2 linked regions of the Rattus norvegicus genome follow. The protein of the gene in region 1 interacts with the protein of each later gene in a pairwise test. Links are inferred from orthologs where the notes say so. Each region holds a gene or a part of one and is shown on either strand. Other genes may lie near its edges. The genes, in order: Smurf2 and Spart.

What was found.
Region 2: the proteins of Smurf2 (region 1) and Spart interact in a two-hybrid assay, tested with the Homo sapiens proteins (2 studies listed by BioGRID and IntAct). The link is inferred for Rattus norvegicus from reciprocal best matches to the Homo sapiens genes SMURF2 and SPART.

What each region holds. Positions count from the first base shown.
Region 1 is NC_086028.1:92,358,747-92,363,129, reverse strand, and holds the start of Smurf2 (E3 ubiquitin-protein ligase SMURF2), read left to right. Parts: upstream 1-1,349; 5' UTR 1,350-1,451; coding exon 1,452-1,503; intron 1,504-4,383. UniProt on the Homo sapiens protein: E3 ubiquitin-protein ligase which accepts ubiquitin from an E2 ubiquitin-conjugating enzyme in the form of a thioester and then directly transfers the ubiquitin to targeted substrates.
Region 2 is NC_086020.1:141,459,726-141,463,537, forward strand, and holds part of Spart (spartin), read left to right. Parts: intron 1-85; coding exon 86-244; intron 245-361; coding exon 362-452; intron 453-3,812. UniProt on the Homo sapiens protein: Lipophagy receptor that plays an important role in lipid droplet (LD) turnover in motor neurons.

The sequences.
Region 1 (4,383 bases):
TTAAGCAAAGTCAACGTGGATACAAATCCACACTTTATCCTTAGTTTTCATTACTACTTATGTGCACATAGAACTTGTATTCTCCATTTAAACCCTGCATTACATATAAAATCTTCCATGTAACGTGGTCACCACAATTGCCATTTAGATAGCTGCATAAAAATGTCTTGCTGCTGATGTAATACAATTCATTATTGGGCTATACTCTCATCCCAGCCTTGTAAAACAAAACCCCCAAACACCTGTATTATTTATTTGTCCAGAATAAGTTCCTATTACTGTAAGTTACCGCATCAGAGTTACAGTCCTGTTCATTTTGTCTTTTTTTTTTTTTCCTCCTGGGATAGCAAGATACAGTACTGCCTGAGCTTTAAACACAGTATCCACCTATCTATCTTGTTCACAGTCCTTGGCGGTATTTGTATCATCTCCCTATGCCTGTCCTGCTAGGGAAAAAAAAAAAAGAGTCCGAGCAGGTAAGTAACCGGATCTGGAGTACCAGGTGAGTCCGTGGAGGTGGCAATTACAATACTAAGAGCTAAGCACTCCTGGGAATTTGCTGGAACGTTCGATGTGGGAATAGCGTCTTGTCGAATTAATTCTTCGGACTCGGGTCTAACTTTACTTTACTCTCGCCAGCCTCTTAGGGCGCGCAGTGGGAGTATTACTCGGGCATTCTGCCCTGTAGGGACACAGGCTGTCTTTCAGTGAGCTAGCTGGTCAGCAGGCCCCTCTGGTGCCACGGAGCCGGCGCCGCCGGGCGGTGGAGTTCAGAGATGGGTCTGGGCCGGGACACACGCGCTCCCTGCGTCCCGCGCGGAGTCCGGCCTTCCTCCGGCGCCCTAGGCGCAGGAGACCTCGCCCACAACCCCGCCCCCGAGACGGCCCTGCCCACCACAAACCCCGCCCTGCAACAGGCCCCGCCCCCGTCTCCTCCCCGCCCCCAGGAGCCGACGAGTGGCGGCGGCGGCGGCGGCGGCGGCGGCGGCAGCGGCCCCAGGACCGGGTTCCCTCAGACAAGAGGGCGGGCGGAGGAGGAAGCGGCCGAGCACCCGCCCGCCTCAGCAGACTTCGCACCATCGGCTCCCAGGCCTCGCGGCACCGAGAAGGGGAGACCGAGGCGGGCCGCGAGGACAGGAGGCGGCGGGGGCGCGAGGCGGAGGCGGCGCGGCCGGCCGCGGCTGCCGCTTTGTTGTGCGGCCCGGGCCGAGGAAGCAGAAGTGGGAGGAGGGGGGAGCTCTGCGTCCCGCTCCCTCCGCGGCTCATGGCGACGGCGCTCGGCACATCCGGGACCCTCCGGCCCTGGCGGCCGCGGCGCGGGCTGTTCGGACCCCGGCCCCGGCCGCTGTGGTGACTCCTCCGCGCCTCGCCGTCGTCCCAGCCCAGCCCAGCCCGCCCGCCCGCGGGCCGCGAGCGCCGCCGCCGCCGCCGCCTCCCCCGCCGCTGGGGACATGTCTAACCCCGGAGGCCGGAGGAACGGGCCCGTCAAGCTGCGCCTGACAGGTGAGCAGGGCGGGCGGCTGCGGCGCCTGTGGGCAGGCGGAGGGCCGGGGTCGCGGTCGGTGGTGGCGTTGGACGGGAATCCGGGCGTGGGAAGGCCTAGTTCAGGGAGTCATTGGAGAACCACTTAGCTGGGGTTGGGAAATTCTTCAGAACGCCAAGTGTGTGGCCCGTGGGTCTCCCGTGGAGGGCGGATTTGAGGTCCGGACATCTAGTTTCTTGGGGTCACAGGAGCAGCCCCTGGGCTATTGCCCAGGTGGGGTCGTGAAGGGGATTACTGAATCCAGTTGCTGACTGCGCGCAGTAAACACTCCTTAAATATGGAGTTGAGTGCTTAACGGGAGAGTGCGTGTGTTCCCGGGTTGTTAACTTGGACACCTACCTATGCCCGGGTGTGAAACCTTTACTCTCTAGCTGCCAACCTCTGCGGCCAGTGCCACACACCTTAAAACGCACGTCTCTGGGAGGGACTGAGACTGTGGTTGGCTTTTCCGGCGTGTCTGCCTGATCCCACGACTCCCGGCTCATTGTACACTCTGTGTTTTGGAAGTTGTTTGATTGTAGGGTAGCGTGTTTGGGGTTGTTCCTTGTAGGCCGCAGAACTAGTGGCTCACGTCTGAACTCCAGACATGGTTTAGAATCGCTTGCTTGGAAATGTGTTTCTAAGTCTTGGACTCCTACATAAACTTTTAAGCGAACTTTTACTGGTTCTCTTCCACACTTCGCGCCCCTTTCTAAATGGAAAGGAATGCTCAGAGGGATTTGTTAAAGACTGTTTATGTTCCCAGGTGCAGCAAGTTGTTAACGTATTACAGGTATAATTTGCTTATGATGCCACTTCTGATATTCTTCCGTGGTCGCATCTCCCTCCTTTTAAGGAAAATTGCGTTTGGTTTAAAGAGTGTAAGTGAAACTATTGTCCCTCTGCTAGCTAGACGCATCGTTCACAGTAAGTAAATTGTCCGCATTTATATTCAGATGTGTGGTGAAAAAGACGTCATTTTGCAGTTAGTTGGTTCATATGTGTGTGCACCAGCGAAGGATAAGCTGTAATTATGCTTGCCCACACTAAACTTTGAAATTTATGTGGACGAATGTTGTAGTTGAATGCCTGTGTTAAATGCCAGTCCGTTGGCTGTACCTTTTAGGTAACTTGAAGTGAATTTGGTATTTGAGAATTTAGTTTGAATGTATGTTGGCTACAGCTTCAAATACTTTCCCTTTGAGGCTGAAGAGATGGCTCAGTGGTTAAGTGTATCCTGTTCTCTAAGGGGACCGGAGTTCTACTCCCAGCACCCCCCACCCAGGTCCTTGGCTCACTACCACCTGTAACTCTAGCTGCAGGGGATCTGATGCATCTGGCCTCCCACAAGCACCTGCACTTGTGTACACATACTGCCCCAATCTCCAGTAATGAAAAAATATATACATTGCACTGACCTGAAAGCGTTTCTTTCCCTAGGGAAATCACAAGGTATTATTAACACTAGGTTGGGGGGCGTGCTTTGATCTTCATCTTTACTGTTCTTTTGGGGGAGTCAGTGGAACACAATTATAAAGGATCTTTGGTGCTCTAGTTTATATATTGATATTCTTACTAGGCAGGTCTGTGCCAATTACAGAAAGAAATTGTGAGTGTAGGTGTGCAAAAGCCATCGGAAATGGGCTGTAATTTTCTTCTGGGATACATACATGGGAGAGAAAAAGAGAGGTTTGGGTTTTCTTTAGATAAAAATGAGTTCTGAGGTGGGCTGGAGAGATTGCATAATAGTTAAGAGTACTGCCTGTTCTTCCAAAGGTTTAATTCCCAGCACCCACATTCCAGGTCACAACTGTCTGTAACTCCAGTTCCAGGGGATCTGACACACTCATACCCAATGCATATAGAATTCAAATGAATTATTAAAAATGAGTTCTGAGGTTTTGTTACATTTATGTTCTCTCTCTCTCTCTCTCTCTCTCTCTCTCTCTCTGTGTGTGTGTGTGTGTGTGTGTGTGTGTGTGTGTCTGTGTCTCTGTCTGTGTGTGTCTGTCTCATGGCCATGGAGTACATGTGGTGGACAGGATAAGGTGGGATCACCCTTTTCACCTTGTGAGTCTTACCAGTCAGACTTAGGTCATCAGGCTTGAGAGAAAATACCTTAACCCTCAGTGTTCTGAGGGGTAGTGTGACTGAGCAGCTCTTATATTTATGTCATTTTTTTTCTGTATATGATAGTTTAAAAAGATTTATGAGTGGCATTTGTTAGGTGAACATGATAACCACTGCACTAAAGAAACTTCCCTTGAGTGAAGTTTGAGAGGAAAAAGATCACACTTAGTTTCTGAGCAAGAGGATACATTCGACTAAATTTATAGAGTGATTTTGTACACTTAGCTTTTTCTGAAGAATTTTAAATATCTGTCCTCTCCTCTTAATTGTAAAAACAGTTTGAACTACTCTCAATTTTTTAAAGCTATTGGGAATTTTCCTGTGAATAGTTTTCGCAAAGTCTGACAAATATTAAAACCATTGTTGTCTCTTTGATTACATATGGTGGAATCTCCTGTTTTGCAAGGAACATTAACTCACATTTTTTCATTTTTGTTCATCATTTACGAATTAAATAGTATAAATTTTAACAAATAGATCTTAAGAGCTGGATTCAATTAGCAGCTTTTTAGGACACAAACATAAAAGGGTTAGATGGAAAAGATTGTTTTGACTGACTGGATAAATGACAGGGCTGTGTTTGATGTGCGTCCAGGACTTGGTCTGGAGCTGGTGCCCAACTTCTCAGTCCATCTTGAGAAGCCAAATAAAATATTTAACCTAGGACTCTTTTTGTTTAAAAAAAAAAGTTGATTCTTTGTTAAGACTTTAAGAAATGTTTGGCATACCTT
Region 2 (3,812 bases), on another chromosome or scaffold:
GGTGGCCATTTGAGAACGTTGTTCAGTGCAGATGCTGAAATCAAGGGACTGGTTTCTCTGAGTCTTTTCTCTATGACTGTATTAGTTGATGGCGTCTGCACAGTAGCGAATTGTGTTGGCAAAGAACTCGCTCCACATGTCAAGAAGCATGGAAGCAAACTCGTTCCAGAATCTCTGAAGAGAGACAAAGATGGGAAGTCTACCCTGGATGGCGCCATGGTTGTGGCAGCAAGTAGTGTTCAAGGTAACGGGGGTCTGGGTTTGTCTTGTTTATGTTTGCTGTGTTCTGGGTGGGCCCTGGGCTACCTGAGCAGCTCAGCAGACTGTTGTTCACGTGAGACTGACGGACCTGTGTTTACAGGATTCTCAACTGTCTGGCAGGGACTGGAATGTGCAGCTAAATGCATCGTTAACAACGTGTCTGCAGAAACTGTACAGACTGTCAGATACAAGTAAGTACAGTGTCATTGGAGAGTGAATCTCCAGTGTCATCAGCTCAATCTGCATGGCTGAGGCTTATGTGCTTTCTTTTAGTTGTTTCTGATAAACTTATTTTTCCCCATTCACTATTTTCTAAATAGGGAACAGTTTTAGTATACTGATGAAACTCTTGTGGCTTTGATTTGTGCTACTAATTGTTATAAATGTTCATTAATACAAAGAATATGTATAATTTTTAACTATATAATTTTGATAGTAGTATTTCTTGAAGGAGAAAACAGACTTGATTGAATTGGAGGCCCCTTTTAACATTAGTGCATTCATGTGCTAAGTTATGATTCCCATTGCACATTTATATTGGGCTAAAGAGACAGTTACCTTCTGTTTGATACATTAGGTAGACAGGACAGAAGTGAGCTGATAGTTGGTGTATGATTTCTTTCTACGTTGGCTCTGAGGTCTTTGGAGAGAGGTAACTTCAGTGTGCCTTGCTGGTTGCTGCCAGACCTCATCCCCTTGGCAGGTGACCTAGGCTATGTCCGTCTCATAGCTATGTGTCCCAGGAGGCTCCCCAGATCTGTGTCGAGCTTCTTGATTGGAAGGCGAGATTGCTTGTGTGCTGCTGAGACACTTTAGAGCCAGCACGATGACTCACAGGAAGTTGAAGGCATTTCACTGCAGGCCCATAGAGAAGAGGAGACCCCATAGTCAGTGGGGCCTCAGGTGGCACAGGGGGACAGACATTCCATAGAGGAGAGCAAAGAGGGCCTGCGACTTTATTAAGGTCCATGGCATTTGGGCTTTAGTGTGTGTGTGTGAGGGGTGGGGAGGTAGGCCAGCTGCCTTAGAGAAACCATGGAAGGGGAAGTCACTCAGGACTCTGGAGTTAGCCATTTGTTTTGTTAGTGGTCAGCAGTTGTGAATGGGAGCTGTGGAATCAAGTCAGCGAGAGGAACAAGTCTGCTGAGTCACCAACAAACTACATACAGAGTAAAGTTTGAACTAGGCCGAAGTGGCACCATACTTCTGGTTCCACTTACTTTTGAGAACCAAATACTTGGGCAATGTTATTAAAGAACAAATTTAAAATGCCATTTTGGGTGTGTCTTCTTTGTTTGAACTTACGGTTTTTAAACAGTGTATATGTACAAAATAGTGTTTTGTTTTTATAACATTTCATATGTGCATGGATTATACTTTTGGTCATGTTCTCCTTCTTTCTTCTGTCTGAATTACAGAAATCTGGACCTTAAAAAACTAGATCTAGTGGGACCCAAGCTGTTTTCTTCTTAGTTTGACTCTTACGCTTTACTTAGGAAGAGGGACAGGCGGGCTGCAGTGAGGTCCAGTGGACACAGCTCTTGCCTAAGCCTGAGCACTTGAGTTCAGACCCCCAGCTAACAAAGGTCACACAACACGTGAGCAAGGGAGGCAGATGGAGTCCAGGGCAGTCATACAGCAAAATGGAACTGGAGATCGCTGGGTTCAGTGAGAGGCTCAGCTTAGTTAACAAAGGGGAACGCAATCAAGGACTACATTGGTTTTAGGCCTTCACACACGTGTGAATGCAAACATGCACAGAATATGCACATGTAGAAAGTGGATTAATATTTGAGTTTTTATTTCATATTAGTACTGTGCTCAGGGTTTCTCATGTATTATATAAATTTAACATTTCTATAGTTTTATACACAAGGAAACAAAAACATTAAAAGTTAAAAACTTGTTAGAGCTTACATCCCTAGTTGAGTGGCAGAGCTGTGATGTAAACCAGGTCCCATGTCCCACAGTCAGGGCAGGGTGCTGTGCCTTCTCTGTCCTTGAAGAGCTCTCTGCACAACTTCAGTGCTCTGGGTTGACCTCTGCCACCATTTAGACTGCTTTTGGCTTAGGTAGTACTACATTTGATTTCCGTCCTAAATTGCTTTGTTCTCTCAGTGTGGGTGTGCCTTCAAATCAAAGGGACACAACAGATCAACCTGGCTGCCAGTTTTAACCAGAGAGCTGAAAGCAAATACAGAGAAAATTATGATTACCGTTCTTACTACAGAAAGTGAAGGTGTTTGTTTTATTTTCTCTGAATATGTGTAGATTGTTATGGAGGAGCCTGGTGTGATGAACCAGGTATTTTCACAAGGTTCTGAGTGAACTCACTCCTGTGTGCTGTCTATTAGTGTTACTTTATTCTGTTCTCCAGAGTTACACAGTGTGAATAAATAAGGCAGAGTTGCCCAGCAGTGGACTTGTGAGTACAAGAGTGATTGTTCTTTTTTTTTTTAATATTTATTTATTATACATAAGTACACTGTAGCTGTCTTCAGACACACCAGAAGAGGATCAGATTCCATAACAGATGGTTGTGAGCTACCATGTGGTTGCTGGGATTTGAACTCTGGACCTCTGGAAGAGCAGTCGGTGCTCTTAACCACTGAGCCATCTCTCCAGCCCAAGAGTGATTGTTCTTAAAGTGATTTAATTTATGCCAATAGAATCTTGGGGGATTAAAGATTGGGCCCCACTATTCCAGATTTTCACCTGCAGAGGTAATCTGGCCCAGGAGTAGAAAGGGACAGACCTGTTGAGCCAATAAGAGTTCAGTGATAGGATGGGAGAGTGGAGAGCCATTCCTAAATTCCTTCCTTTACTTTGGTTCTTATTACTTAAATGTACACACTCTCTCTATCCTTAATCTTTGACACTGCAGGAAGTAGAATGCACGCTTGCGTTCTGCTCATGTCAGTGTACTGAAGCCGTGTCCTGACTGCACTGCTCTCCCACAGAGTTTAAAATCTGCTGACATCACATGCATTATGCCTGAGAGAAAACTAATGCCTTAGAAAAGCTTCCGTACCCGTGTCTGCGGGCGTTGTATGAGGGAGCAGGAACACGGAAACTTTTCAGGTGAATATATAGAGAACTTTTTGTCAGTTACATTAACATTTCACATTTTTAGATTGAGGCAGGTGAAGAGCTACAGGAATAATGGAAAACAGTAAACAACTTAACCCCCCCACCCCCCAGCTCAGCTGCAGCAGCGCCTGCTGACTAACCCTCACTCCTCTTAGCTCCATTCTGCATCGTCAGTGTTGATGTCATTGCAGCAGCTTAGGTCTGTCTGTAGAATCTATCTCTGAATATCTGTTTGTTGAAAATAAGTTAATAGTGTTTCCCTGGAAGAAATTTTCTCTCCGATGGTACTAGATTGTATTGGTTTGTTTAGAGTTTAATTAAATTAAAACTTAATTTAAATACCTCATAAGTTTCCAGAGCTTATGAATTAACTCCAGTGACAGTTGTCATGGTCTCTGAAACCAGGTCTGCATGACATCCATGACATCCATGATCTCTGCTCAGGAGTTGCAGCTGCTCTC